Nothobranchius furzeri: one gene and its partners. The protein of the gene in region 1 interacts with the protein of each later gene in a pairwise test. Links are inferred from orthologs where the notes say so. Each region holds a gene or a part of one and is shown in the gene's direction. Other genes may lie near its edges. The genes, in order: kifc3, leng1, KAT8 regulatory NSL complex subunit 1, stx11a, CAP-Gly domain-containing linker protein 4, zgpat and atf2.

The links.
Region 2: the proteins of kifc3 (region 1) and leng1 interact in binary tests that used the Homo sapiens proteins (3 or more experiments, as listed by UniProt). The two-hybrid records come from large-scale screens. The link is inferred for Nothobranchius furzeri from reciprocal best matches to the Homo sapiens genes KIFC3 and LENG1.
Region 3: the proteins of kifc3 (region 1) and KAT8 regulatory NSL complex subunit 1 interact in binary tests that used the Homo sapiens proteins (3 or more experiments, as listed by UniProt). The two-hybrid records come from large-scale screens. The link is inferred for Nothobranchius furzeri from reciprocal best matches to the Homo sapiens genes KIFC3 and KANSL1.
Region 4: the proteins of kifc3 (region 1) and stx11a interact in binary tests that used the Homo sapiens proteins (3 or more experiments, as listed by UniProt). The link is inferred for Nothobranchius furzeri from reciprocal best matches to the Homo sapiens genes KIFC3 and STX11.
Region 5: the proteins of kifc3 (region 1) and CAP-Gly domain-containing linker protein 4 interact in binary tests that used the Homo sapiens proteins (3 or more experiments, as listed by UniProt). The two-hybrid records come from large-scale screens. The link is inferred for Nothobranchius furzeri from reciprocal best matches to the Homo sapiens genes KIFC3 and CLIP4.
Region 6: the proteins of kifc3 (region 1) and zgpat interact in binary tests that used the Homo sapiens proteins (3 or more experiments, as listed by UniProt). The two-hybrid records come from large-scale screens. The link is inferred for Nothobranchius furzeri from reciprocal best matches to the Homo sapiens genes KIFC3 and ZGPAT.
Region 7: the proteins of kifc3 (region 1) and atf2 interact in binary tests that used the Homo sapiens proteins (3 or more experiments, as listed by UniProt). The two-hybrid records come from large-scale screens. The link is inferred for Nothobranchius furzeri from reciprocal best matches to the Homo sapiens genes KIFC3 and ATF2.

The regions. Positions count from the first base shown.
Region 1 is NC_091749.1:65,948,340-65,951,839, forward strand, and holds part of kifc3 (kinesin-like protein KIFC3), read left to right. Parts: intron 1-564; coding exon 565-794; intron 795-864; coding exon 865-1,008; intron 1,009-2,195; coding exon 2,196-2,325; intron 2,326-2,405; coding exon 2,406-2,566; intron 2,567-3,500. UniProt on the Homo sapiens protein: Minus-end microtubule-dependent motor protein. Involved in apically targeted transport. Required for zonula adherens maintenance.
Region 2 is NC_091745.1:76,666,511-76,670,727, reverse strand, and holds the start of leng1 (leukocyte receptor cluster member 1), read left to right. Parts: upstream 1-1,417; 5' UTR 1,418-1,568; intron 1,569-1,759; 5' UTR 1,760-1,804; coding exon 1,805-1,936; intron 1,937-2,880; coding exon 2,881-3,063; intron 3,064-3,976; coding exon 3,977-4,217. Other genes in the region: voltage-gated chloride channel TMC4, read left to right, coding at 1-10, 103-233, 356-511, 594-672, 766-858.
Region 3 is NC_091756.1:53,988,067-53,992,155, reverse strand, and holds the start of KAT8 regulatory NSL complex subunit 1, read left to right. Parts: upstream 1-1,289; 5' UTR 1,290-1,336; intron 1,337-3,128; 5' UTR 3,129-3,200; intron 3,201-4,089. UniProt on the Homo sapiens protein: Non-catalytic component of the NSL histone acetyltransferase complex, a multiprotein complex that mediates histone H4 acetylation at 'Lys-5'- and 'Lys-8' (H4K5ac and H4K8ac) at transcription start sites and promotes transcription initiation.
Region 4 is NC_091758.1:20,330,248-20,334,336, forward strand, and holds stx11a (syntaxin-11a), read left to right. Parts: upstream 1-1,289; 5' UTR 1,290-1,424; intron 1,425-2,542; 5' UTR 2,543-2,547; coding exon 2,548-3,417; 3' UTR 3,418-3,794; downstream 3,795-4,089. UniProt on the Homo sapiens protein: SNARE that acts to regulate protein transport between late endosomes and the trans-Golgi network.
Region 5 is NC_091758.1:40,981,747-40,985,246, forward strand, and holds part of CAP-Gly domain-containing linker protein 4, read left to right. Parts: intron 1-483; coding exon 484-669; intron 670-742; coding exon 743-877; intron 878-2,091; coding exon 2,092-2,215; intron 2,216-3,500.
Region 6 is NC_091755.1:51,598,479-51,602,580, reverse strand, and holds the start of zgpat (zinc finger CCCH-type with G patch domain-containing protein), read left to right. Parts: upstream 1-1,302; 5' UTR 1,303-1,472; intron 1,473-1,762; 5' UTR 1,763-1,800; coding exon 1,801-2,387; intron 2,388-3,849; coding exon 3,850-3,983; intron 3,984-4,089; coding exon 4,090-4,102. UniProt on the Homo sapiens protein: Transcription repressor that specifically binds the 5'-GGAG[GA]A[GA]A-3' consensus sequence. Represses transcription by recruiting the chromatin multiprotein complex NuRD to target promoters.
Region 7 is NC_091754.1:21,239,882-21,244,044, reverse strand, and holds the start of atf2 (cyclic AMP-dependent transcription factor ATF-2), read left to right. Parts: upstream 1-1,363; 5' UTR 1,364-1,983; coding exon 1,984-2,123; exon of another isoform or gene 2,124-2,136; intron 2,137-2,157; exon of another isoform or gene 2,158-2,325; intron 2,326-2,705; coding exon 2,706-2,778; intron 2,779-4,163. Other genes in the region: atp5mc3a (ATP synthase membrane subunit c locus 3a), read left to right, coding at 232-306, 572-762, 847-961. UniProt on the Homo sapiens protein: Transcriptional activator which regulates the transcription of various genes, including those involved in anti-apoptosis, cell growth, and DNA damage response.

The DNA.
Region 1 (3,500 bases):
ACCTTTGGGGATTCTCCTACATCAGCATGGTGTGAAATTCCATCTATATGCTGACAACTGTCAGATGTATCTCCTCCTTTGGCGGGGAACTGGTGGATCAATTTCTACGAAGGCCAATCTGTTTCAAAATGCACAAACTTTTACCTGTTGTGTGTGTTTGTACAACATGATGTGCAACATGACCATCAAACATGAAACACTTCTCAACCTTTTTTTTTTTTTTTTTTTTGACTGGGAGAACGTGTCGGGATTTGTGTGTTACACAGCACAGAGTTCTTAAAGTTGTGAAAGCAAACATGGCTGGAATCTCACAGTATTCACTCACGGTGGTGACAGAGGAGTCTAGTGCCCATCTTGGAACTGGAGGGTTGCTGGGTTGAGCCCCACTCTGTCTGTCACAGTCGTGTCTTTAAGCACCACCTGGTGGTGGTCAGAGGGACCGGTGGCGCCAGTGTTTGGCAGCCTCACATCCATCAGTGCGTCCTTTCATTTCTAAAGCCTTGTGAGATGAACTTGAATTAAAAGGTTTGGATGTGAGACCTGATTTCCTGTGTTCTGGTCTAGGAAAGCTTAACCTGGTGGATCTGGCAGGCTCTGAGCGGATCGGGAAGTCTGGAGCAGAGGGCAGTCGGCTCAGAGAGGCTCAGTGCATCAACAAGTCGCTTTCTGCTCTCGGTGATGTCATCAGCGCGCTACGAGGAAAATACTCCCACGTTCCCTTCAGGAACTCCCGCCTCACCTACCTGCTGCAGGACTCTCTGAGCGGTGACAGCAAAACTCTGATGATGGTCCAGGTGAGACCTGGTGAAGTCCAGAAACTAGTCTTTGTTCCTTCCTGCTGTCTCATGCCTGCCATTCCTGCAGGTTTCTCCGTTGCCTGGCAACATGAGTGAGTCGGTGTGCTCGCTGAAGTTTGCTCAGCGTGTTCGCAGCGTCGAGCTAAACTCTTCCTCTAGGCGGCACGAGAACTCGTCCACCTCTTCCTCACCCACTCACAACAGTGTGGAGGTAACTCTAAGCTCCGCCCAGCTGGTCAGGGCTGAGACGTTCACATTTTTTTGGTATCTTCAAAATAAAAGTAGACTAAACAGTGTGAAGTCTTATATTACAGTCAGATGCACGACGGTTTTAATAAATCTGCTGTAATGGAGCCATACGTGAGGCTCCTGGGCTGGACACTAACCCAGGTCTAGGAGGTGGCCAAGCTTGCTCTCCATCTACATTTTGATGCCTGTTGATAAGACCTTGTCGTAGAAGATTCAGTCCAAAATAGTGCTGAACAATTTTAAGAAAAGGATTAAATAGAGATTTTTTAGCTGCATGTTTATGCGATTTTGTCCTGCCGTTACCCAAATTCATGGCCTTGGGTGAAGGTTGGGATAAAGGTCGTCCAGTACCGTATTTTCCGGAGTATAAGTCGCACCAGCCATAAAATGTATAATGAGGAAGAAAAAAAAACATATATGTCGCATTTTGGGGGGAAATTTTATTATTTTTCTTACGAAATCTGAGACCAAGCGTTTCACATCGCAAGACAGGTACCGGTAACAATAACAGAATAAACAATCAGGGCGCAGCAGCGCGCCACGGTCTCCAGCAGAGGATGGCGGTGTTTCAAACCCTCCCAGCGGGGCAGGGGAGCTGAAACCTGGACCGGAGCCGGACCGGAGCAGCGCGGTATACACTGATGTATAGTATAAGTCGCAGGACCAGCCAGACTATGGAAAAAGTGTGACTTATAGTCCGGAAAATACGGTAAGTTAAGAGCCTGGCTGTTTGGCTCGGCTCCTCTTCACACCTACAGACGAGTTCAGCCTGTCCAATTCCCGTTTACTCAGTCGTGAACAAGACCCAGAGATACTTAAGCTCCTCCACTTGTGGTAGAGTCTCTTGTCCGACCTGAAGCTGGCCATTCACCCTTTTCCAACGAGACAAAGACCATGTTCATTATTGCTCTAAAGGGTTCCCGTTGACTGAAACTGCAGATGTGTATTTTCATCCCAAGAACCAGAGCAGGGTTAGGGAACAGGTTCCTGCTGCTCTTCTCTAATCTGTGAGTCTGGATTAGCCATCGTGTTTTCATTTAACTGAGGGCTACAGCCATTAACAACATTTACATTCATATAAAAATAAACTTTGGATATTTGATTCCCCGTCAGATCACTTGTGCTATTTGACCTCTGACCTCTCACCAGCTGGACTCTCCCCCTGTGACGCCGGTCCCCCTCCCCATTTCTAGGGCCAGCAGTGCTGGGTCCACACTGTCTTCCACCTCCAGAACTCCCAGCAGCTCCCGCAGGAGGTCCCAGTCCCAGCTGTCCACAGGTACACACACACACACACACACACACACATTCCCCTACACACACACACACAGACATAAAGGTTTACGCTTTGTTCCTCAGCAGCAGCAGTGCATTCTGGGAGACGAAGCTGTCCAGCTGATGGAGTCCCGCTGTCAGTCTGTCCATCTTCCTCTGTGTCCTCCTCATTCTGTGCTCTGATTGGTTGCTTTTCAGACAGACAGGTTGACGGAAGCAGCCCGTTGTTGGGGGACGGTGGGCAGGTAGGTGAGGGTCTGTGTGCTGATTGGACCGTTTGGCATGAACGCTCAGCATGGCATGCCCCGCCCGCCACCTCCCCTCGTGTTTGTGTGCCTGTAGGCCTGTGGCAGGGCCCACTGAACCCTTGGGTCCAGACGACCTCAGGTTCTGGCCCTTATGAGCGCTGAAACACCTGGAGGTTGTTTAGAGCTCATGTTGTTCCCCCTACCCTTCCCACCACCTGCTGAGGATTATGGGATGGTTGTTTTTATTTTAGCTCTTGGTCTTAAAACACACGAGCTGCAAATGTATTTATTGGTTACTATGGTAACAGTGCTCGTGTTGGCAGAAATTAGGAGGTTAAAGATGAACATGAGCTGCAGGTGGATTCACTTCCTGTTTGGTTAGGGTAAATACCAGCTGTACGCTGCAGGTTTGAGCCTAATGGCTTCCTGTAGCCGAGGGCGCTGCAGATGTTAGTTAAACCTGGACTGAAGGATCTGGCGGAACAACTGAGTCTGCGGTCTGGTTCAGCTGTGGTTCTGATTAATGTTCTCAAAACGTCCACTGGGCTGCTGATTTCAGCTCCGGGCTGGTCCTAGCCAGAGTTCTGGTGACTGTGCTTTAAGGATCTGTGTTCTTCATAGTTTTATCTGGGAATCCCTGGGCTGAGACATTAGATCCCCCCCCCCCCCCCCAACCTATCCTAGGCCCGGGACAGACCTGTTTGTCCCTCCTCCTCATGAGCAGGCCTGCTCCTGCCTCCAGACTCCTGACCAATCAGCAGACTGAACCTTCTCACCTGCTTTTAGTTCAGCGTTTTGTGTGAAAAGTTGAACCTGAAACAAGCTGCAAGATCAAACTGATCAGCTGATTTTGACCAGAACCCCCTGCTGGCTGTGATGTCATGTGTTTGGTCATGTGACTACAGCAAGTGGACGGACTGACTAAAGGTGT
Region 2 (4,217 bases), on another chromosome or scaffold:
CTGCAAGAAGGTGAAGAATTTAACATAAAACTTGTTTTTTTCCCTCTCACATACATTATAATTATTTGTATTAGTGATGATATTGTGTTTGCGTGTCCACAGATCACACTCTTCCACAACTGTCGGCCAGCGCTGAAGACGTTTCGGTCCACCACCTCCACCTTCTTTTTCCTGGTGGTGCTTCTGTTTGGCTGGACGTTGGCCCTGGTTGTTATGATTTACAGCCTTGCTGTGTGAGTGCTGACTGCTGCAGATTTATCCTTAATATTTCCAACAAAACAGCGTTTTAGAAAGTCAGAACAGTCAGGGCATCACTAAACACTTTAAGAAGGATTCTTTCCACCTCTCCAAACAGGATCAACCCTTCGATGGCGTGTGGGCCTTTCCGCTTCTTCCCCTCCATGTGGAAGATTGTTCCAAACTCTTTCTACTGTCTCTCTAAAGTTACACAGGATTTTCTCTTCTTCATTGGCTCACAGGCATTTTCCATACCTCTTTTTGCTTTATCATGGTGAGTGTGCATTTGTGAAATATTTATTATTTATTAGATTTAATCTACAGATTATCACAGTGCCTTTTTTCCTCTCTGCCAGCGTGATTATGTGCTATTTTGTAGCATTAGCTTCCATCTATGGAAAAAGTGTTGAGATGCTCAAAGCTCAGCTTAAGTTGGTATGTTGTTCCTACTTACAAAGATCAAGGATCATTTGTATAATATCCTCAGTGGTAGCTAATATTGTCCAATGTCATGTCTTTGATTTTCAGGAGGGTCAAGATAAGCAGTTTTTGGTCAAACAGATTGAAAGACTAAAGCTGCAACATCTGATGCCAGCACTAAGAGCAGAAGTACAAGACTGAACACAACCGATGACCACGTTTAGTTTTTCTGACCTAAATAATGAAGTAACTAATATGTCTTCTGGGGGGGAGAAATCTCATTAATCCAGACTAGATCTCATTTGACAATTACTATATTCATTTACAGCGTTTCTGTTGTGAAGCTGAAACAATAAGAGAATTTGTTATTTAAAGTCAGTATAATTTTGATTGTTGTTCTAAACATTAGTGTTGAATTAATAAACATGCACAGAATTTATTTATGATTTTGAGAGGCTATTTTTCTTTTGTATAAAACAACCTCGGGTGCAGAATCACCAAAAATGCTAACAAGAAAGAGCATGCATTTCACAAAATGCTACATTCCAAAGCCAACATATACTTTACCTTTTTGTCCTTTCATAATGAGTACATTGTTTTTGACATCTTTTGGTTATAGCAAAAAATATATATATTTGGGACATACCGGTAAATATTTTTGTGGCACCTGTACAAATACCAGTAGAGTTTCAGCGCCCCCTGGTGTTACATATTGTAATTACATAACACGATTATTGTTTACTTCCTGTTTAACTCTACTACTTCCTGTGAGCGCAACAAACCAGAAGCTACTCCTCCGTTAGCTCGTCATTGATAGCATTTATTATATTTTAGGAAAGTAGTCAACTTAAATAGATAATGTGAGTGAGTAAGGTCCACGTTATTTTCTTCTGCGTCATCACAAAACATTGGCAAGTACTAGCGACCTTCCCTATTTAGCTTAATTTCCTAAAAAGAAAGAAAACAGCGACGCATATTTGATTGTTGGGCGTATTTGAAAAATTCTGCTTCTGTATTTAGACATTTTGTCGAATAACCTGCTTATTTCTACTATACACCAATATATTAACTGACCAGAGTGAGTGTTTTCTCTTGTCGTTAGCTTTCTAAGCTAGCTGACTGCTAATTGTCGGTCACCAAGGCAACCATGAACATCCTCCCGAAGAAGAGTTGGCACGTCCGCAACAAGGACAACATTGCGCGCGTGCGGAGGGATGAAGCCCAGGCAGCAGAAGAGGAGCGCGAGGCCAAGCGTCGCGTGGAGCGAGCAGAGCAAGAGGTAGTCCCCCTCTGGTGTTAGCATGGTCATTCATTAGTCTTCACTCTCTCTCTTTCTTAACATTTTTTTTGAATCACAATTGTCTATTTTTGCTCATTTTAAATATATTTTTAAACATTTTCTAAATGCTTTTTTATTTTTTTACATTTTTGTTTTTGTGAAGTGCCTCGTGATTTTTATCTTTAGAGGCACTATAGAAATTATATTTTCTTCTTCTTCTTAATAAGCGATATAAGTATCATTACTACTGTGGAAAATGTATTTGAGTGCAACACAACTGTAACGCATAGAAAAACCACAAATCAGCCGAATGTACAGGGTACCTGGCACTTTAATTGAAATATTTAAGAAATTAGTTCTGGAAAAATGATCAAAAGTAAACAAAAGAGTTTCACAGATTTTAATCCTGACCATTTAAAACTAAATAAATACAGAAATAAATGTCTTTTGGGGAGAAAGACAAAAGAACCAGTCACACGAAGGTCAGGTGGATGTTTGGAGTTTGGAAAAGTGTAGAAATGTTAAGGTTATAGATGTTAAACAATCTGAATGCCACATGTAGATTAAAACCGCAGCAATGATTTCAGTAATAAGAAAAACTGAAAACATTCTGAGCTTCGTCACGTTCTCTCTCCTCGTTGATTCTATCTAAACCGCTGCGTGCACATATGAGGCAAGAGCACTTTATCATGAGTAACTTTATTACAATAAAGAGCCACAACAATAGTACCACTGTCAAATGTCCCAGACGATACACATAATTCAAAGTTGTATAATTTAGCAAATAATCTGCTTTACACAGTGCTATTTAGGATTTAGTTGCTTTCAGCTTGTTGCAAAAGCTCAGTTAGGTCCTATGTCTTCAGCTGCATTTGCTTACAATCCAAAATAACTATTTATTATTTATATCTTTAGTTTATTCTAACAGCTTTTTGTTTCTACAGGCGCGTACAGAGTATCTGAGAAGGAAATCTCGAGCTGCTCTTCAGTCAGAAGGAGGAAGCAGAGATGATGATGATGAAAAGGAAGGTGGAGGAGGCTTGGAGCACCTCAACCTCTTCCCTTTGGAGGAGTCTTCAGAGAAGAAGGGGAACGAGGAGTATCTTAAAGAAAAGAAAGAGGAAAAGGTGACAGAAAAACCTTAATACATGTGTGGATTATTTATTTTTTGGGGTTTTATATTTGCTTCAGTAACACCTTTTCCAGGGTATCCGCGGGTCCTTAAAAAGTCTTAAATTAGCTTTTCCAAATTTAAGGCCTTAAAAATCCTTAAAAATGACAAATAATCCTTAAATACAGTTTCCAGAGGTCTTAAATTACCAAAGACCCAATAAACAAGATTCTTTTATTTCTATAAAATTTTCATGAATTTCTAGTTAGCGTTCAGCATTTTTGTGTACGATGTTGCCGTAAGCGGAACCGTACACGTTCAGTTGGTTGTGAAAGGGGGCTATTTTTAGATGAGCACGTTAGCTGGTTAAGCTAGTGGGAGCTTGCGCCATGGGGAAGGGCAAGTTTAATGGTAACTGGATGGCTAATCCCATGATCGCGGCGTGGTTAGCACCGGTTCCAGGCAATAGCTGGAAATTATAGCTTAAATGATAAATGACCCGCACTTGTATAGCGCCTGTCAGAGGAAGGACTCCAAAGCGCTTTACACCACAGTGTATCATTGATCCATTCACACACACATTCACACACTGGTGGTGATGAGCTACGATGTAGAGGCGAGGCTGCCGAGCACAGGCGCCACCGGTCCCTCCGACCACCACCAGCAGGCAAGGTGGGTTAAGAGTCTTGCCCAAGGACACAACAGCAGAATTCTCTGTCCGGAGCCAGGATCGAACCTGCAACCTTCCGATTACTGGACAACCCGCTCAACCTGTTGAGCTACCGCTGCCTTGCTTAAATAGCTTAAATTTGGTCAAAGTGGCCTTAAAAAAGGTCTTAAAAAGTCTTAAATTTGTCTCCCTTAAACCTGCAGATACCCTGTTTTCAAAAACCCCTTTGTTTAAATATAATCTGCATCTTCTCATCCAGGAGAAGCAGGAACGCGCCATCGGCCTACTGGTGTCTTTAGGACCCCAGCCAGGCTCTGAGGTGACTCCGTGGTACCTGAAGAGCAGCAAAGACAAAGAAAGTCAAGAGAAAGACAAAAAGAAGGGAATAAGTGAAGAGGAGAAAGAGAAGAAGGATCGGAGGCTGAAGAGTAGTTTGGATCCCCTGAACGAAATGAAGAAAGCTCTAGACGTGTTTGAACGAAAAGTACCTAAAAACAGGA
Region 3 (4,089 bases), on another chromosome or scaffold:
GATGTAGACGCTGATGAGAAGGAAGGTGATTTTGTCCTATCTTGAGTTTTTGTCATGAGAAACTATGGAGGTCTCATCACTGACTCTAGAGAAGATCGTTTCCTCCAGGTCACAAGAAACTTCTTCAGAAGCATTGCAGTGTTTGTTATCAATTTGTTATTTTTGTTTGATCTTGAACTACGCTAGTGTGAGCAGCTGAGACTGCTGTTTAAAATGGTTTTATGCATGTTTAAATAAAATCATGAAAGAAGTTTATTTATTTCTGTGTTCAGTAACCCAGTTTCCACAAGGATTTTGGCATTTGTACCACTTGTTCCACAGCTCCAGGACTTAGACCAAAACCAGTAGTTTCCACCTTTAGAAAGAAATTGTTACAGGTCTGTTGAAACCAAATCCAGAATAATGAAAGTTCCTTTGGAGATCAGCTACAATATTCCTTCCAATGTCAATGTTTTTTTTACCTCCAGGTATCCTTCACCTGCAGGTGAGATTCATTAAGTTTCAGAACTGTTCCTCCCTCAGTTTTTAGACCTTCAGGTACTGTGTCATAAACCAATAATAATAATATTAATACGGTAATAATCATCATCATTATCATCATCAATGTTTGTTGTTTTGACTTAAGTTCGTGTTCCATTCATTGTAATTTTGTAAACAAGCCAGCAGACTTCATAACTAAGTTAGTTCTGGTCTTCCCCAGAAGTACCACTGCAGGTCTGATGAGTTCCTGTCCATCCTCTGGCTCTTGGTTTAACGTGTGCAGGACAACATTTAGCCAAAACTGTCCTCCAGTGAACAACTGGTGCCATTTGTGTCTCGTGGCCTGCTTTAGGGGGACAGCTCCCAGACCGGCCGAATCTCAGCCCAGCAGGACGATGGGCTAAGATGCGATGAACTGGATGAAACGAAACGTGTTGATTAAACTCGTGAGTTGCGAAAAGCGTGGTCTCTGTTTATCTGATATGAAGCCTTGAGCCCAATTCTGAGCCAAGTCTCTAAAACAGCAACACAACGAAGAGTGTAGTTCTGAGTGAAAACATCAGCTGGGCTGGGAGCAGCTAGCATGTCTGCGATGGAACAACACAGTGACCAGGGCAAATGAAAAGCAGTCGGCCGGTAAAGACACGGGAGTTGTGAGACTCGGGCTGTAATTCTTAAATTAAAACAATTTTAGACAATTAAGTTTCGTGATATGAACTTTCATATACATTTCCGCTGTACGGGCATTTGCTAAGACTGACAGCTGCCGGAACCAATAGAAAGTCTGAAAATAAACCGTCAACCAATCGCAGCGCAGAAGGCGGGGCTTATTGGTGGTTTGTAACAGGACAAGCAGGTAAGTAAGATACTCGTTATTTTTTTAAAAACAACGAACAGTTTGCTTGTCAGGAAAAACTCTCTTCTAGTTAAACGCGCGGTTGTTTTATTTAAGTTTGATTATTTTTTACTGTTGAATTTTATGTTAAACGTATAAATTAAATTGCAGTCATTGAGAATTCTGGTACATCGGGAAGCAAACAAGCTAACGCGTATTAGCATCTGTAACGTTAGCTTTTCATAGTCTTTTTGACTGAGCTTAAATGTATCATCAAAAATCACAGGTAATTCGTTCCGTTACTCTCTACTCTTTAAAGATACATTTCTTGACATATTACCATCATATTTCCACCCTCTGTGTTGGTGTTGGTCAGCATGTAAAACTTTTAGTTTTCATAAATTTGTAACGTTAATGTGGTTAGCTCGCTAGCTTTAGCTCGTCAGCTGAAAATATCGGAATACTCAACAACAGTTTAAAAGTTACCTGTGCTGGAAGCTTCTGATGTAAAGTCACAACTTTAACCATTAGTTGGCCACGTGAATAATTATTCATAAATGAAATGTTTAAAATTAATCACCGTGCATCATTTCGTTCAGTTTAATGAAACATTAAAAAATAAACTAAACCAAAAATTTATTGGACCATAACATTAAATAAATAACCACAATACAAGACATAGAGTAAACTGTACTGTTGCACTAATTTAATTGTAAATTTTTTTAGTTGATGTAAGTTATAAAAAATTGATTTACCACCACTGTCTATGAAAGCAACCAACGCTGGTGTTACACCGTGATCCCACAGGGGGCGCTGTAACGAACACATTCAGACTGGGTCTGAGAGAAACAAGTAAAGCAAACGAACAACAACAGTTTTAGGTTCAGACTGAAACAGGGAGCCGAAAACGACTAAAAACATGTTCAGATTCAGTTTCAACTGCAAAAACAGCTCAGATTCAGATACAAAACTGACACAGTAATCAGAGCTCCACTGGTTGTTGTGGAAGTTATTTCTCTGTCATTTCCTAACACATTTGCTGCATCTGGCGTTCATCATTATTATTTACGTGTTTAAGAACGCGTTTTAATTACAAATTCTACTTTTACAGTAGCAGAATTGATGTGAGTCTTGATTGAGCACTGGAGCAGGTGCTGACATCTAGTGGTCAGGTTGGAAATCGTGGAAATTCGGTCAAAACCAGGATAAAAAATATTAAACTGTGTATGTTCTGCCTTCACCAACTTAGGTATTTATGCAGCTTCTCTATTTTTGATCATGTTGAATCAAAGGCTTTTTTTCCTATTTTAAATTACACATATAATAATAATAATAATGAAATGGTTTAAATGAATGAATCACTGAATGACTGATTTAAAAATGATAGTCCTAAACATGTAGTTTATAACTTTCCTTTTATGTTGGTGAAATAATTCCTCTCTTGAGGAACAAATACAACAAGTCAGTTGTTCCCAACCTGGGGCCAGTGAACTCAGAACTGTTGGTTTAGTTAGGTGTAACACGCCAGACAACATCCTTAACTATTTGCTATAAAACTAATGAAGGTGTCTGCTGTGGTCGGTACAGCCTGGTGGTTTATTTCAGGGCCTTTGAGTTGTGCCAAAGCATTTTTAACTCGGTTTAATTTGTCATCAAGAAGCTTAGTTTGGAATATTTCCTGGAGACAGTAGATTGTGACCGCTGTGAAGGCTTGTCTTTACCTTTATTATTTATTACTATTATTAATTATTATGAAATAAGATGTTTTTGATTATCTGTTTTACTAACTTTTTTATTTATTTATTTTTTTTAGGATTTTTGTGTTGTATCTGGATTCATGGCGTATTGGACTACCAAGTGGAGCATTTCATCAATGGAGCTAAAGGTATTCCTTGAGTGCATTAATGTTTTAGCCCTCTTATTTTTACCTGAGGTCAAGGATCGTCTTCTCCAGTTGCCGTCCCTGAATTCCTGCGGACATTGTGGAGAAGATGTGGCCAAAATAACCTCTCTGGGCCTCCAGAACCCAGTACACCGTTGTCTCATTGATTCAAGCTATTAAACTGATATCCGTTTGGAGAGATTTAAGGCAGCTCAGATGGAAAACTAAACCACAGGAAGTTTGGGGAACACCTTGGGTTCCATCAGGAGTAACACATGGAACACTCTGGAAGCAGACACAAAGCTGGATGGGTGGAGTTAAACGTCATTAAGTCATTTCAGCTGTCTGAATACCTGAGACGTCCTAGCACACATTTGTAGCTTTTTCCCTGTGATGTAACTAGCATCACTTCTACCATCAGACGATAGCGCTTGTTCCTACTCAGACCTTTCCCATGCGATTTATTTTCTCACATTTTAAGAAGACATGTTGACAGGCAACTGAATCATCTCCTTCCTTAGACGAACCTTCAACACAGGAAGTGATGAACTGCCGTTTTTTTAAAAACAAGATAAACACTTGAACAAAAGCTTTAGTTCCATGTATTTATTCCAGGTATCGTGTGAGTAAACAATGTGTTCTAGCTTATATTTTCCATAAATAGTACCAGTCTGAGAGGTTAATTGAGCTGCAGGTTTGATGTTTAATGATTGGTACCATGTGCTGTAGCTCTCCTTCATGTGGTCAGACTGCAGCTGTGGTGGTGGTTGATCTGGATCCTGTTTAGGGTCACATCAGAGACCTGGATCCGTCTTGTCCCGTCTCCTGAGGGAAGGAGACTCAAGTGAAGTGCTTATAATCCTGATTAATCCACTCATTAGAATATCACCAT
Region 4 (4,089 bases), on another chromosome or scaffold:
AGGGATTTGTTTTTTTTTCTTTTCTTTTTTTTCTTCAAAACTTTATTGAACAAGGTGATAAGTATACAAACAAATTGCATACAAAATTGAACAAAGAAGATGAAACATATGCCAGGGGGTGCACTACAGAAATGTTACACACATCCAAATAAATTACAGGTGGTGCAAATAGTTATAGTTTTTAAAGCTTTTTTGTTTAGTGATCCACTAATCAATTTTATGCAAGATAGAGTGTCACTATAATAGTGCTTGAAATTAGGTTTTTGGTTACTATACTTGCATTTGTGGAGATAGAATTTAGCTAGATTAACAAATTTATAACAAAGTATACATCTTCCTTTCTCTGCTTGCGAAAAAAATACAGCATTTTCCCATTTTAAAACGAAGTCCTTGCAGAGCTGTCCGATAATAAATCTGCTAAAGTCTTTCCAAAACGTTGTAGCATGTGAACAGATCCAGAAGAGGTGGGATTTGTTGTTTTATTTGGTTGTGGAGAGTAAAGATTTTCTGTCCTCTGCTGGAAACAAGTGGGTACTGCAGCGTTCAATACAGCGTTTAGTCCAATTTACAGGAAAGCCAGAGCGTCTTCACTTATATAAACTACTAAAACGCAATAAATCAATTTTAGTTATCTGTGTTCAACTCGATTAAATCAAGGAGCTGCAGCAGGAGCTAAAAGCAGCTAGCCACAGCACAGCAAATAGAGCAGATCTACCGCCCTCTGGCGGCCACAGGGCGAAACTACACGGCAGAAGGGTTTGTTTTTTGGCAATGTAAAACAGTTACGAAATTTTACCAAACTAATCAAACATGTCAGATATAAAAATATTGGTTATGAGTTCAACAGAACAATAAGCACCCAATTGCATCTAATAAACACTCAAACATTGATACATAGATTTTTTAAGGTCCTTTTTTTGTTTCAAACAGGAAAAGCATTACGTCTTTGGATTTCACAATGAATGTATGAAATACTCAAATAAATAAAATAAAAACAAATACTAATAAAAAACGCATGCTAAAAAGCTACTGAAAATCTGAGTAAATCACAACAGCTGATTTAATTTGATGAATTTGTTTATTCAGAAAAATGATATATGCAATCAATTATAATTACGTAACGTCATTTTAACATTTCTAAATCACCCTTATTCACAATACATTTTAAGTAAAAGCTTTGAGTTCAGGAAGAACTTCCATTCGGACCCCTTTGATGGAAGTTCTTCCTGAACTCAAAGCAGGGTTTGATCTTCCGCGTAGTTGGTCTCGCGGCGTCAGGAGGCTGGTGACACTCACACCTCTTTACTCAGACTGTGGTTGATGTTGGTGAAATGTCTAAATGTAACCGAGACACAAAGAGGAAACGGGTCTTTCTTTTCTTCTGTTTCTAAGGAGAGTTCTCTTTAGGAGGGCACCGCCATAAGGTACGTTTACTTCTCTGGTTTTATCGCCTCAAGTAACCTGGCGTAGTTTACAAGACTCCTCTTAGTTTCTTCGTTTACCTCCTCCCATCAGATCACTAGATGCTTATTCGTTTCTGTTTTGTTCATAAATACTTGAAATAGTTTGAAGTAGCTACACAATGTGAGTAGCATGTGGAGGACAGATGAGACTAACTAGCAGCTGAAAGCGTCACAATCTGAGGAAGTAACAGAGCAGTTTCCTTTTGTAGACATTACCGCCTGAAATTATTTCTAAACCATCAGTTTATTTATTTATTTAATTATTCATTCATAACCAGAGAAGCGTCCACACCTATTTTATCTTATCGCAACTCAATCAAAACTAATTAAAGTGAGAGCAGTAGCAGCTTTATGACGAGATAAGTATAATAAGAGTTGAATGGTTTTTAATTAGGTGTGTTTATATGGTTGATCATCATTTCTGTAACCAGGAAGAATTTGGTCGAGTCCAAAATGCATAAAGATAAAAATGAGACATTTTTGAATGATTGCCCCACTTTTATTGTTTCCAAAAATAAAATGGTCCATATTACGTCACAGCCAGTGAGTAACAGCAGCAAAAAGCTGATTCTAAATGTGTCATAGCAGCTTATAAGAGTTTAATTAGGATCTGTGTTTTCTAGGAGGGCTCTGGTCCAGCTTGTTGTCCGAAGGCCACCTCTGGTTTAATGCACCAAATAAGACTAAATGTTACCACATTTCTCGGATCACTTTGAAGATCTTACATAATTTCGAGGAAGCTTAAAAGCCCGTCTCGTGTTGATAATCATGGCCACATGATGATCAGCACTGTTCCTCTTTTCTGCAGCGTTATTATTTCCTGACAACCTGAGGAACCTCCTAAGATGCTGCTTAAAAGAGTGTTGTGTCAGATATCTGGAGTCAGTCTGAAAGCAGATCTTGTTTTTATTGTACTCTATTACTCTCCTCGTCTCTTAAGTTACTCAGAAGACAAAACTGCAAACTGGGCCTCAAAGATCTTTGTCTTTTGGAGATATGTCCAGCTTCCGCTCATCTCAGAGCGACGGAACATTTCATATATTTTAGAAAATAACAGATCGAACTGACTCTTGCTGCAGGTGAAATGAAGGACCGACTATCTGAGCTGAAAACCGTCACCCCGGAGCCTGCTGAGGAGGAGCTTAACACAGTCTTTGAGGATGAGGAGGTCGCAGAGTCACTGGCCATCGTGTTTCAAGGTGAAGATGTGATGGACGGCATCTACAAAGATGCCCAGATGATGAGGAAGGAGCTGCAGCTGCTGAAAATTGACGTGAAGCGTCTGGCGAAGCAGAACACGCGGTTCCTCACGTCCGTCAGGAGGTTTAGCAGCATCAAGCGGGACTCTAACGCGCTCGGCCGGGACATCAAAGCCAGGGGGGAGGCCATCTACGCCCAGCTGGAGAAGCTTGGAAAGCTGAGCAAAAAGCTTGGAGAGGAACACGGCTTCACGTCGGCTCTGTCTCGTATGGTGCGCTCACAGTACACTTCTCTGACTCGGGCCTTCCACGAGGCCATGTCTGAGTACAACGAGGCCGAAATGATCCAGAGGGAAAACTGTAAGACCCGCATTCAGAGGCAGGCGGAGATCATGGGCAAGGAGGTGACCAGGGAGCAGCTGGACGAGATGATCGAGAGCGGGAAGTGGAACGTCTTCTCGGATAATCTCCTTTTGGAGGGGAGGACTACCAGATCTGCTCTGAGCGAGATAGAGAGCAGACACAAGGAGCTGCTGGAGCTGGAGGGTCGCATCAGAGACATCCACGAGCTCTTCTCCCAGATGGCTCAGCTGGTGGAGGAGCAGGGCTGCATGCTGGACAACATAGAAGCAAACGTCTGCTCTACTCAGGACTACGTTGCCAAGGCAACGGTTCAAATCACACAGGCTAAAGAATACAGTGAAAACAACCCATGCAAGAAACTCTTCTGCTGCTGCTTCCCGTGCTGTAAATGATTCTTGGTCAGATTTAAACTGGAACTCTTTATAATTTTCCTTTTACGGGGTCAGCGTCAGACATCTCACTTCATTTTCACGTACTGTGCTGGTCTGAGAAGGAGGAAGAGTCATTTCAAACCGCGCTGTTCACATACAAATGCATTCAGTTGTAATCGAGTTGTTGCATTTCCTGATCGTAACTGATTATTACTTTCTGCAGCACCCACATGACTCCACGTCTCATCAAAGATATGTCATTGCAGCTTTTTATGTCGGGTAATGCATGTTTCATTCAGTAAAACTTGATTTATTTCTAAATTACTGCTTTGGAATGAAACGGCGACCATTAAAATGGGAGAAAAAAAAACAAAAGCTGGAGCTGACGTTGCTGCAGCTGTTGGCCAACAAGTGTGTAGAAACACAAATATTAGTGGTTAGCTGGGAGATAAGCTGCGTTCGTGTTGAACAACAAGCCTCGTTTTGCTCCAGCTTTATGCCGGAGCTTTTGTTGCTTCATATGAGATTAGCTCCAGCGTCTGGAGTCTGATTGGTGTCATGTTACATCCACACAAGCTTTTCTCTCAGGCGTGTACCTGAATCAGTGTCAGTACAAACACTCAGAGCCAGAGCAGGGGACTTCCTGTTGGTACCAGAGTTCTTTGGTAATCTGGATTTTTTCTCAGATTAGGG
Region 5 (3,500 bases), on another chromosome or scaffold:
CCTGCAGCAGCCTGGCGAGCCGCACTATACCGATCGGTCACGAGCCACAGAAACGAGTCTCCGGTTGACTTTGAAACCGTGCTAAGACCAGTCAGAGCAAACTCATAACTGCAGCTTCTTTCCTGCTTAGGTCTATGTTCTAGATGCTGTTTAGACGTGATTTGTGAGCTTCTCCCCCTCAACGCCTCACTTTAGTTTGTAACTGAATCTCTTCCTGTTGAAGCACTTTGGTGCAGACCTGATCGATTAGCCTCAGAGCGTTGCTGCTAAAGGCCTGTGAAGGTCTGTGGAAGGTAAAGGCTTAATGAGGTCCTGCACCTGATGGCTTAAGAGGGAATTCGTCGTCTTTCTCCATCTTTTCTCCCATTCTGTTGGAGGGGAGGGCTTAATGTGTCGGACCTCTGGCTGATGCTAGTAGCTGTTGAGTTTTGTTCACTTTCAGGTGTCTCTGTAGGAATTCAGTCTGAGCCTCTACGTCCACAGGTGTCCTCTCCCGCTCCCTGTCCTCTTCGTCGTCTTCACTGGACTCTCAGCATGGCCGGGGCGCCCGACCCCGCCCTCTACCGAGGCAGCGTCTCTCCACCAGGCAGCGCAGGGAGAATATTTCTCCTAATCCCAGGACAACCCCGTCACCGGTGCTGCGCTCCTCGTCTCGCCCCACGGCTGCAGGTGCTGCTGAGTCCAGCTCTGATTCGTCACGTCGATGATCTAGATAAAGTCTCTGATTCCTCTCTCCTCGCAGGTTTCAGGAGTAGAACCCCGTCGGGGAGCAGCTCGGTGTTTGACGGTTCTGAGGTCCGGCTGGGGGAGAGAGTGCTGGTGGCGGGAGAGAGAACCGGAGTGGTTCAGTTCTGTGGGAACACCAACTTTGCTCCTGGTCAGTTCTACAGTTTATGATTCTGCAGATGAAATAAAATGTGAAGGTTTATTTGTTATCAGTGAATCACAGCTGGACAAAATACTCCTAGACTCACTCGGCTAAAACCGAAGAAAAAAAAAACTCCCTTAGGACTTTTATCATTTGACAGAAACAAATGGATGTTACTAAATAGTTAAACAGATGTTTTTTCTTTTTTCCCCCACATATACTAAATCTGACCTGTTTAAATCACAAATTATAATCTAGCAGAGGTGGTTCATTTTGTTTTATCACATCCAAATTAAAAGTATAGAGACTTGTAGCCTCTTGAAGGACTCTTGGAGCTCCTTGGGGAAGTCTTAGACCTCCTGAAAAAGTTTTGGAGCTCTGGGAGGAGTCTTGAAGCCCTCTAGGGGAGTCGTGTACCCCCTTGAAGAGTCTTGGAGCTCCTGGAGAACTCTTGGAGCCCCTTAGAGGAGTCTTGGAGCCCCATGAAGGACTCTTTGAGCTGGGGGAGTTTTAGACCTCCTGGAGGAGTCTTGGAGCCCCTTGAAGGACTCTTGGATTCCCTTTAAGGACTCTTGGAGATCCTGGAGAAGTCTTGGACCTCCTGGAAAAGCTTTGGAGCTCCAGGAGGAGTCCTGAAGCCCTCTAGGAGACTCTTGGACCCCCTTGAAGGAGTCTTTGAGCTCCTGGAGGACTTCTTGAGGCCCTGGAGGAGTCTTGGGGCCCCTTTAAGGACTCTTTGAGCTCCTGGAGGACTCTTGGAGCTCCTGGAGGAGTCTTGGAGCCTCTTGAAGGACTCTTCGACCTCCTGGAGGACTCTTGGAGCCCCTTGAAGGACTCTTGGAGCTCCTGGAGGAGTCTTGGAGCCCCTTAGAGGAGCCTTGGAGCCCCTTGAAGGACTCTTGTAGCTTCTGGGGGAGTTTTAGACCTCCTGGAGGACTCTTGAATCCCATTGAAGGACTCTTGGAGCCCCTTGAAGGACTCTTCAACCTCTTGGAGGAGTCTTGGAGCCCCTTGAAGGACTCTTTGACCTCCTGGATGACTCTTGGAGCCTCTCTAAGGACATTTAGAGATCCTGGAGGACTCTTGGACCTCTTGAAAAAGTTTTAGAGCTACGGGAGGACTCTTGAAGCCCTTTGAAGGACTCTTGGAGCTCCTGGAGTCGTCAGCCTCCTGGAGGAGCCTTGGAGCTACTGAGTCTGAAGCTGCTGAACTTGTTTGTGCAGGAGTCTGGTTGGGAGTTGAACTGGACAAGCCGAGTGGTAAAAACGACGGGTCTGTTGGAGGTGTGAGATACTTCAGCTGCCCTCCCAAACATGGCGTCTTTGCCCCCCCGTCGAGAGTTCAAAGGTGAGGGTTGACTCTTTTAGAAGAAACATTGAAGTGAATTCTTACGGCTGGGTTTCTGTGACGACTGACATGTCTGTCTGCTGATAACCGGAGTTATGAGACGGGACGCTTTGGGGCGTTCCCTCAGCACGTCTCCTCCGCTTAATGTGACACTTTGTAATGAGCCAGATGCTAAAACTTCTGCTTTCAATGAAAATAATGGAAGATCAATATGTACACAGCAGGCTGCCAATAAAATGTGTCAGGGAAGATGTTTGGATAAAATGATGCACGGATGAAGTTATTCTAATCCAGATTAGTGCGCAGGTTTGTTCTTGACATCCTCCTGGTCACAGATTTAGAGGATCATGTGGTCTGGGTTATCTTAGACTTATATAGTTTCAGTTGTTCAGATCCTCCTGAGCTTAGGTCTCTTGCGGGGTACCACAGGGATCAGTACTTGGAGCTCTGCTTGTTTCTTTATGCATACATCTTCTCGGCTGTATTTTTAACACCCTGGTCAGATGAGGTCAGTTTGTTTAGTGGCAGTAGGACCTCGTCTTTGCTTTTTGTGGATGATGTCATCTTAGCGCCGTCAAACTGTGACTTTCAACTTAAGAGAAGTTCACACCCAACCATGGAGTGGATGGGATGAGGATTAGCACGTCATATTTCCGTGCCACGATTCTCGACCGGAAAAGGGAGGATAGCCAACTCGGGGTCAGTGACGTGGAGGAGGTAAAGCACCTCAGGGTCTTGTTCACGGGGGAAGGAGGGAGTGAAATCAACAGGCGGATCAGGGAGACGCCGGTCTGATGTGGTGAAGAAAGGGAGCTAAGCCCGAAAGCAAAGATCTCAGTTTACTGGGAAATCTTAGTTCCTAATTTCACATCTGGTTGAGAGCTTTGGGCTTGACTGAACGATCCACATCATGAATACAAGCGGCTGATAAGTTTCCTCCGTCGGGTGGTCGAGGTCAGAGACGGGGTGCGGAGCTCGGAGATCCGAGAGACTTGAGTAGAGCCGCTGCTCCCTCACGACGAGAAGAGCCAGCTGAGGGTTTTCAGGAATTTCCTGCTGGCGGGAGGCCCCCTAAGTCACAAAAAGGACTTCTCTGTGATTGGTTGACTCTAAAAACAGGACAGAGGGGATGTCTTTTATCTGTAGGTTCTGGTTTCTTTATCTGCTGAACAGGATAAAACACGATTTCACTCTGAAGGATAAACCAGATCATCTGTTGTCTTTCTTTGTAGGAAATCTAATAAACACAAACGTCTCAGTAGAGAAGGACAAAACCACATAAGTT
Region 6 (4,102 bases), on another chromosome or scaffold:
TGAGAATCAGCTCCTCTAAATCTGAGACCATGGTCTTGATTCGGAAAAGGGTAGAATGCCTTCTCCGGGTCAGGGACGAGGTCCTGCCCCAAGTGGAAGTATCTCGGGGTCTTGTTCATGAGTGAGGGAAAACTGGAGCGTGAGATCGATAGGCGGATTGGTGCTGCATCTGCAGTGATGCGGGCGTTGTACCGGTCTGTCGTGGTGAAGAGAGAGCCGAGTCAGAAAGCAAAGCTCTCGATTTACCGGTCAATCTACGTTCCTACCCTCAACTATGGTCGTGAGCTTTGGGTAGTGACCGATAAAACGAGATCGCGGATCCAAGCGGCCGAAATGAGTTTTCTCAGAAAAGTGGCTGGGCTCTCCCTTAGAGATAGGGTGAGAAGATCAGTCATTCGGGAGGAGCTCGGAGTAGAGCCGCTGCTCTTCCACATTGAGAGGAGCCAGTTGAGGTGGCTCAGTCATCTGGTCAGGATGCCTCCTGGACATCTCCCTGGTGAGGTTTTCCGGGCACGTCCAACCGGGAGGAGACCTAAAGGTAGACCCAGGACACGGTGGAGGGACTATGGCTCTCACCTGGCCAGGGAACACCTTGGGATTCCCCTCGGAGGAGCTGGCCCAAGTGGCTGGGGAGAGGGAAGTCTGGGCCTCTTGCCTTAGGCTACTGCCCCTGCGACCCAACTCTGGATAAGCGGATGAAAATAGATGGATGGATGGATGGATATATGCAGCTGAAACAGGCCCAGTGTATCTCAAATTTGTCAATTTTTGACATTTTATATTAAATACCATCATTATGGTCAGTAATGGCCTGTTTTATAAAAGGTGTGGTAATGTGCGCGTCTTTGTTGTCCTTAATGGCATTTTTTTTAACTTACATTACGTGTTCACTTTATACTTTAAGCTGTTTTGCAACCAGTGCTTTTACTTGAGTAAAATGCTTGAAGTGAGACTTCTGCATTTCTGACCCCCTCTCCATTTTCAAATCTAAACTCTCCAAGACAGCATACTATTTATGAGTTAGTTTTATTGTTTTGCTTTCTGACTTTTGGCTCTGTAATTTCTGGGGATTTAATGAGTGATTTGTTTAGCTTGTTTTTAACTTGATTTCTATTATTTTTGTTGTAAAGTGACCTTGAGTTCCTTGAAAGATGCTTTAGATAAAACGTAATTCTTGTTAAACCCTATTATCTATTCTTCATTAGTAACGAATGTGATTGTTTTTGACACCTCTGATGAATGTAGAAACTATTTTAACCTTGCTGACTGACCACAGTTGTTTCTACTTTATTTTGAAAGGAAAACATTTTTACCGGAAGTGCTCTTGTTGTTCGCGTTTGCCGCTTTGACGTCATTCTGCTGTGTTTTGTGTCAACTTGCTTCTTTTTTGACATGAATAAAACAAGGATTTCCGCAGACGTGACCTCGTTTATTGCTGCAGTGGATGTCAGAGAGCTCGAGTAATCACTGAGGTAATGACACGACCTTTATATTCACCAGAGTTTATGGAAACACGGCTAGCAGCTAAAACAACCCATGCTAGCAGGATGGATGGGGAGGTTACTATGAAGAGCCTCATTCATTTAAATATAAATATATGCTTCACACAGAGAAAACGTCTGAAATTCTTGTTCTTTCTGTGTAATCCATCAAATATCTGGAAGTGTAGTCTTTGATCTGTTTGTACTATTAATGTATAAACATGTAATGACACTGTAGTTCCTCTGCACCTTTTGTTCATCTTCTTCATCTCTTGTTGGAGGCGGTTGATGCTGTCCCAGCTCGTGCCAAGCTGTCAGCATGGATGAAGAAAGCCTGGAGGCTGCCATCGCTGCCTATGGGGCCCAGCTGCAGCAGGTGGAGATGGCCCTGTCAGCTGGCCTGGACCCCAGCCAGCAGCCAGACCTGCTCAAGCTCAAAGAAGACCTCTGCCAGCTGATAGCGCTAACAGAAGCCAGCCTTTTATCTGTACAGAAAAGCCGGCTACTGTCCAGCCTAGAAGACAGCAACGGACCTCAGATGAACACCTCAGAGGCAGCGGCTGATTCCGGTGTCTTTGATGCTGAATTTGCTGCGTTTTACTCTGAACTAGGAGAAAGTTCTGGCAGCAGCTCTGATACCAGAGAGAAGGATAAGGACAGTGGGAGCGTGTATTATGAGGAGGAAGATGAGGAGGAAGATGATCTTAGTGGTACCAAAGTAAGGGCGCCTTACAGGACAACATGGGGGACGCTGGAGTATCACAATGCCATGGTGGTGGGGGCAGAACCGGCTGCTGATGGAGAGGAGGCACAAGTCAGGGTGCTCTACATCTACCCCACCCAAAAATCTATGAAGCCCTGTCCGTTCTACCTGGAAGACAAATGTCGCTTTCTGGATAACTGCAGGTAAAATCAAATCAAAGATGCTTTATTAATCCCAGAGGGAAATTAGAGTTTCAGTACACACAATTCAGAGATCAGACATACACGGGCAAGAGACATGACAAGAATTGGTGACTGTGGTCATTCGCAACCCTGAGTTAACAGAGATAAGAGGGTTACATGAGGATTGGTTCAGGTGGAGGAAAAAAAAGGCACTTCAGAGCTGCCCTCAAACATATATGCAACAGACTTCAGACAACACAACATAAGTGTCCACTAGGTGGGGTGGTGGGTTGGGACTATCTCCACTTCATTTCCTGCAGCCACGATAAGCAGCGCATGTCACCTCAGTGTGGATGGGGGGGGGGGGGGGGTGGGGGGGAAGCATTGAGGGTTGGAGGGTTGGAGGGTTGCAGTGACCCTGGAACGTTTCAGCGGCCTTCCCGCTGTCCCGCCCAGGCTGGGATAGGAGACAGAGTAGAGTTGCCATAGCGACGGCACATTCCACATATCTTCTGAGGGGGGGGGGGGAGTTTTCGTGGAGCCTTGCAGGCTCAAGGACACCAGATTCCGATTAGAAATTGTTTTGGGGCCAGACAGAGATAATTTCCTCTCTGTCTTACAATTTGTTGGTCCTCAACCTCTCAGAATCCCAATAATGGACGTTAATCTATCCCAATCCGTGCTGATTCGTCCACTCTCTCCTTGATGGCATCCATCTTTTGTGCCAAAGAATGAATCTCCGCCAAAGTCCCAAGCTTACGATTCATCTCGACAATTATTTGAGTCTGAATTCACTGCGGTGCAAACCATCTCTGAGCTCCGGGATCAGGCCAATATTCCTCGACAGCTCGTTAATTTTCCGGTAAGCCAAGTAGCCTCCAAGGCCAATGAGCAGGAAACCTGACACCAACACCACGAATATCCACACGTCTTCAGAGTCCTCCACAGACAGCTGGTCTGTCCCGGAGGGGCATCCGGGAGTCCCTTCTCCCGTTCTCGTCGTTGAAAAAATTGTATCAACCGCGTTGAGAGACCAGCTGACGAGATCCATTTTAGTGAATTTCAGTTTCCAGAAAATAATGCAGAAGCAGCCGTGCACCCAGCACACGCGGACAGACAAAGGCTTTGAGGATAAGATACGGAGGAGAGGAGAAGAAAAGCGTCTGCACCCTCCGAGAGCCGGAAGCAGAAACCAAACATCTGTTGCTTTTTTATTATTTGTGTTTTGTCACATTAATGTAAAGGACATTCACACACAAGTTTAGAAAATAATGTTCAATGTGTGTATTTTTTAAAATCTTCTCATCATTTTAGCATCTTTTATTTAGAAAAAAAATCTTCTGCACCTTTACATTTGTTGTTATTCTTTTGTTTTACCCGGATAAAACCGAATCGCTCCGAATGGGATTTTATTATCAGTCAGAGGAAAGTTGTGATAAATAACTGAATGGTTTTCTTACAGAAACTCGTCTCACTTTTGCAGGTTTTCTCACGGTGAAGTGGTGTTTGTGTCGGAGCTCAGAGACTTCTTGGAGTGCGACCTTGGTAACCTCGAAGAGGGTTCGTCCTGCTTGGCTCGGCACGAGGATGGTATCTGGTACCCCGCCAAAATAAAAGGTCTCTCAATCACATTTTGTTTTAATTTGTTAAATGTCATCTAAATGTAGTTTGATCACAATAATTATACATTTGAAATTATTATTTCCGTTTTCTCTCATCTTAGAACTTGACAGTGG
Region 7 (4,163 bases), on another chromosome or scaffold:
TGACTGCTTCCAAGGTCATGTTAACCAGTGGCAGACATAAGAGTATGAGACCCTGCAATCAGCATGCGGCCCATCTATCAATATTGTGCAATTTCTGACTAATTTACACAGTTTTCTATGTCGGTGTGTGCTTAAAGTGTTCTTGAGTGGCACTTAAAATACACACCCTTCTATGTGAAGCTTGATCCAAGCAATGCTAAGTGTTTAATCTTGTGTCCATTGTTAATGCAGGTCCGTGCTGGTTCCCGGGCTCTTTACAGACCCCTGTCAGCTTCTGTGCTGTCCAGGCCTGAAGCTAAAACAGAGGTATGAAAGCATGTTTTCCACACCCTCATTATTTTTTTTGAAACCACAGCATTGCAATTGAAGTTTATATTTTATCGGCACTGTGTCTGAAGCCCTAATGGACAGGGTTTTAACTAGAAAGCCTTAGTAACTTGTAATAACTTTGTCTGAGGACTAGCTCTTATGTATTCAAAGATTTAGTTTCTAATTGTCACATTTGGTTCTTGTGATGTTAAAGTTTTTATTCTTCTTTTTTTTTTTTTTTTTTTTTTTTTTTTTGCTGCAGAGCTCTGTTTCTGTGATGCCACCAAGTCCCCTCACTCAGGTCACACTGAGAGGCTTCCAGACCAGCGCCATCAGCAGGGACATTGACACTGCTGCCAAGTTCATTGGTGCTGGAGCTGCCACGGTTGGAGTCGCTGGGTCCGGTGCTGGAATTGGGACTGTGTTCGGTAGTCTCATCATTGGTTATGCCAGGTTTGTTTGAATTATTTCAAATATTTATTGTTAAAACAATTTTACAATTTCTGTTTGGATTCACCAACAATTTCTTGTTCTCAGGAACCCATCACTGAAGCAGCAGCTCTTCTCCTATGCCATCCTGGGATTTGCCCTGTCTGAAGCTATGGGACTCTTCTGTTTGATGGTTGCTTTCCTTATCCTGTTTGCTATGTAAAACTGCCCCACAACACTTTAATTACAGATGTGACTACATATTTTATTGTGGCTACCAAAATTGTTCCTTGTTGGTGTCATAGAAATGTACATTTTTCAAGTCTCTCAGACACTGTCAAAAACAGCAAAACATGTATTGTACAAATGTAACATCTTACGTGAATAAAATACATGTTTTTGACTATTCAAGATTGCAGAAGCTTGTGTCCAAAACATCACCCAACACAACAGGAAGGGGTTGACTTTCATGAATGTCATCTTTTCAGTGAATCAGCCTTGTTTTCTGAGCTTTTTGGGGTCCACGTGAATTATTTTGTCATTAAGCTGCAGTTAAATAGGTGTGTAATTGTGCAGCAAGTGAGATCTAACGGCATGGTAATGGCACTGAATAAATCCAAATGATTTACTTGTGTTAAATGTTTGTTTTTTTTCCCCACAGGAAGAATTAAGTAATTGGCCAATACTTTAAATGAAAGCTTTGGCTGTCAGATCTTTTAAATTTTATCATTGTATGCAAAACTTAAAGGCTTCCTTTCATTTTTTTGACAGAATAGAATTATGTTGGGTTAAAGATGAGTGGCACATGAATATTTTAAATTGACCTTTAGACAGGTGCAATTTAAACACTGACTTCAAAAGAATCACTTTAAAGAATGTCTGCCTTTATTCTTCAAACAGATCTGTCTGCAGCTGGTAAGTTGATGACTGCCTGGTACAGAATCACAAGGGATCTCAAGTGGGTGGATTGCCTAGCAATCATTGCTACAAACAAATTGAAGCGTTTCTGTAACATTAAATACATCTAAATTGTAAGAGCTTATACATCACTCCTAGCATTTGATTTTTTTAAAGTTTACATTTGTGTGAAGAAGGCAGTCTGCTTGAATATGCAAATTATGTGTGCTAAGCGCTTTAAGACTATATTAGTTTTTGTTTTCCTCTAAAAACAATTGAGTTACGTTATGTTAGAATAGTTTATAACATTGGTCCGTAATTTATTTTCTCATACTTTTTTTGACTCCAATGAATTATCCCCAATCGTTTGTGGATGTGGCATTTAACGAATATCTGTTATCGCGATACTTGGGGAAAAAAACGTGGGATTTTGGAAATCAAGGGTTGTGGCTAAGGGGTAGGTGTCAACTCAAACCGCTAGCGACTGTGTACGAATCTTTGGTAAATATACCTAATTTGTGGCAATGTGAGCTGTTTCTGTTTGGTGTAACAAAACAGGAGCCGAAATAGTAGTTGACAGCTCTTTTGTTTACAGCGTTACGTGCGTGTTCAAATATGGCGACGGTTATGTTAACGCAAGGCTCAGGCTAATTCATGGAAGCGACTGGATTGTAGCTCATCCTTTTAGCTGTAAATATATTCTTTAGTTGTTTTGTGATATATGTAAAAATAGACATGCGGTTCTCTTAAAACATATCTCCGTGCTTTGTCTGGAGCAGTGTATCTAAACGTTTTTTATAAGAGCACCGAGGTGTAAACAACTACAGAAACCGCCCCTTATCGATGGTCTTTGTCCAAAACGTTCACCTGACCCCAGCTGGAGTTTTAACTTTTATCATAACTAAACCAGCATGTGTTTACATATTATCATCTCTGAATCGGAGTAGAAATATTTATTATAGGAAGAGTTGCTCTGCATCTTCATAGATCATCAGTTCATTAAAAAAAAATATATATATATATATATAATGCAGATGTTCAGGTTAAAAGTGTTTTTTGTATTATTTTAGGGAGAAGTTACAGGAACTCCTTAATATGAGTGATGACAAACCCTTCCAATGCACTGCTCCTGGGTGTGGACAGGTAAGCAATCCGATTTTGAGAACTTCTTTGAAATTAAACTGATAAAAGACTCTTTGAAGCATCATTGTTCAAGGTTATTTCGCAAAATATGACTTAAGTTTGATGTAAGAGTTTTATCTAATTGATTCATGACTCAATGCATAAAAGCTTTACCAAAACACTTGTCAAAAAAAAAAAACTTCCATTCTTATATCCTCAAAATCTGACAAAATTGTTAAAATGATCGTGGGCACTGAAATAGCCATCACAGCAGTATATGTATGATCATTTGAACATGCAGCCATGTTGTTAGGTTTATATTAAACTTATAGCTTTTTGTCGTTCATCAGAGGGTGAATTTTGAGAGCAGGTGTGTGTGGTTGTGTGTATCTCCAGAAGCTATTTCTTTTACTAAAGAAATGTTAAAGTGAAATGTGAACATCAGTTTGTTTACATGGAAAACATACCCTCATAACCCAAACAATAGTGTGAATAGAATATATAGTAAAATAACTCTGGTAATAGTCATGTGTAACATCATCACCTATAACCTTTTATTTTTACCCATGTGTGATTGCAGAATGGAGTGTATGCAGACAAATTTCATTTTTTAAATAATAATCATTCAATTTCCATTCATTCTTAATTAAAATGTAATCCAAACAAGCTGATCTGAGTGCCCCAGTAACATATAATACAAATAAATAATTTCACTTAAATTAGGAACATTTCACTTGCTGCAGCCCCAAACGCACATTCCTTCTGCTCCACGTAAACCTGAACTGGTCACCTGCAGCTTGTGCGTAATCCAATATCTGCATGATGCTTGCTGAAGAGGTTATGAGGTTCTGGACGTTTGCCTCAGACTCGTGGCTGTTTAAATGTTGTTCTGGATTAATCCTCACTATGCTGACACACTTGAAGCGGGTGCTGAATAACGAGCACTACTTAAGCCACAGTTTTAAAATGAGGAAACATTTCTCCAAATAAAATAACCAGAAGTCTACCTGACTATGAAAGATAGAAGGGCTTCCACTTGACAGTGCGCTCTTGCGCACAATGTCGAGTGCGTCACAGACGCTCTCCCAGCTCCTCTTCAGCGTGCCGCTTGCGGACACTGTCAGCAGCGAGAGGCGGAGAAGGTGAAAGATAATGCTCAGATGTTTTGTTGATGGAGATCTTTTCTTTTTTTTATCTCCGCGATGTTCTCTGTGCGTAACGTGTAAAATATCTGTCATTAACAAACTTACGCTTGGTCAAACAAATAAATGAACAAATTGCTTCTTATAAAAACAACCATAACAGCTCAGCCCGTCGCCGATGGTCGAATAATTCATCCCATCGCTGAACCCTAATGGTCGGCAAATTGAAAAATCTAATTGCTAGCCTTTATATGAGCTACAGTG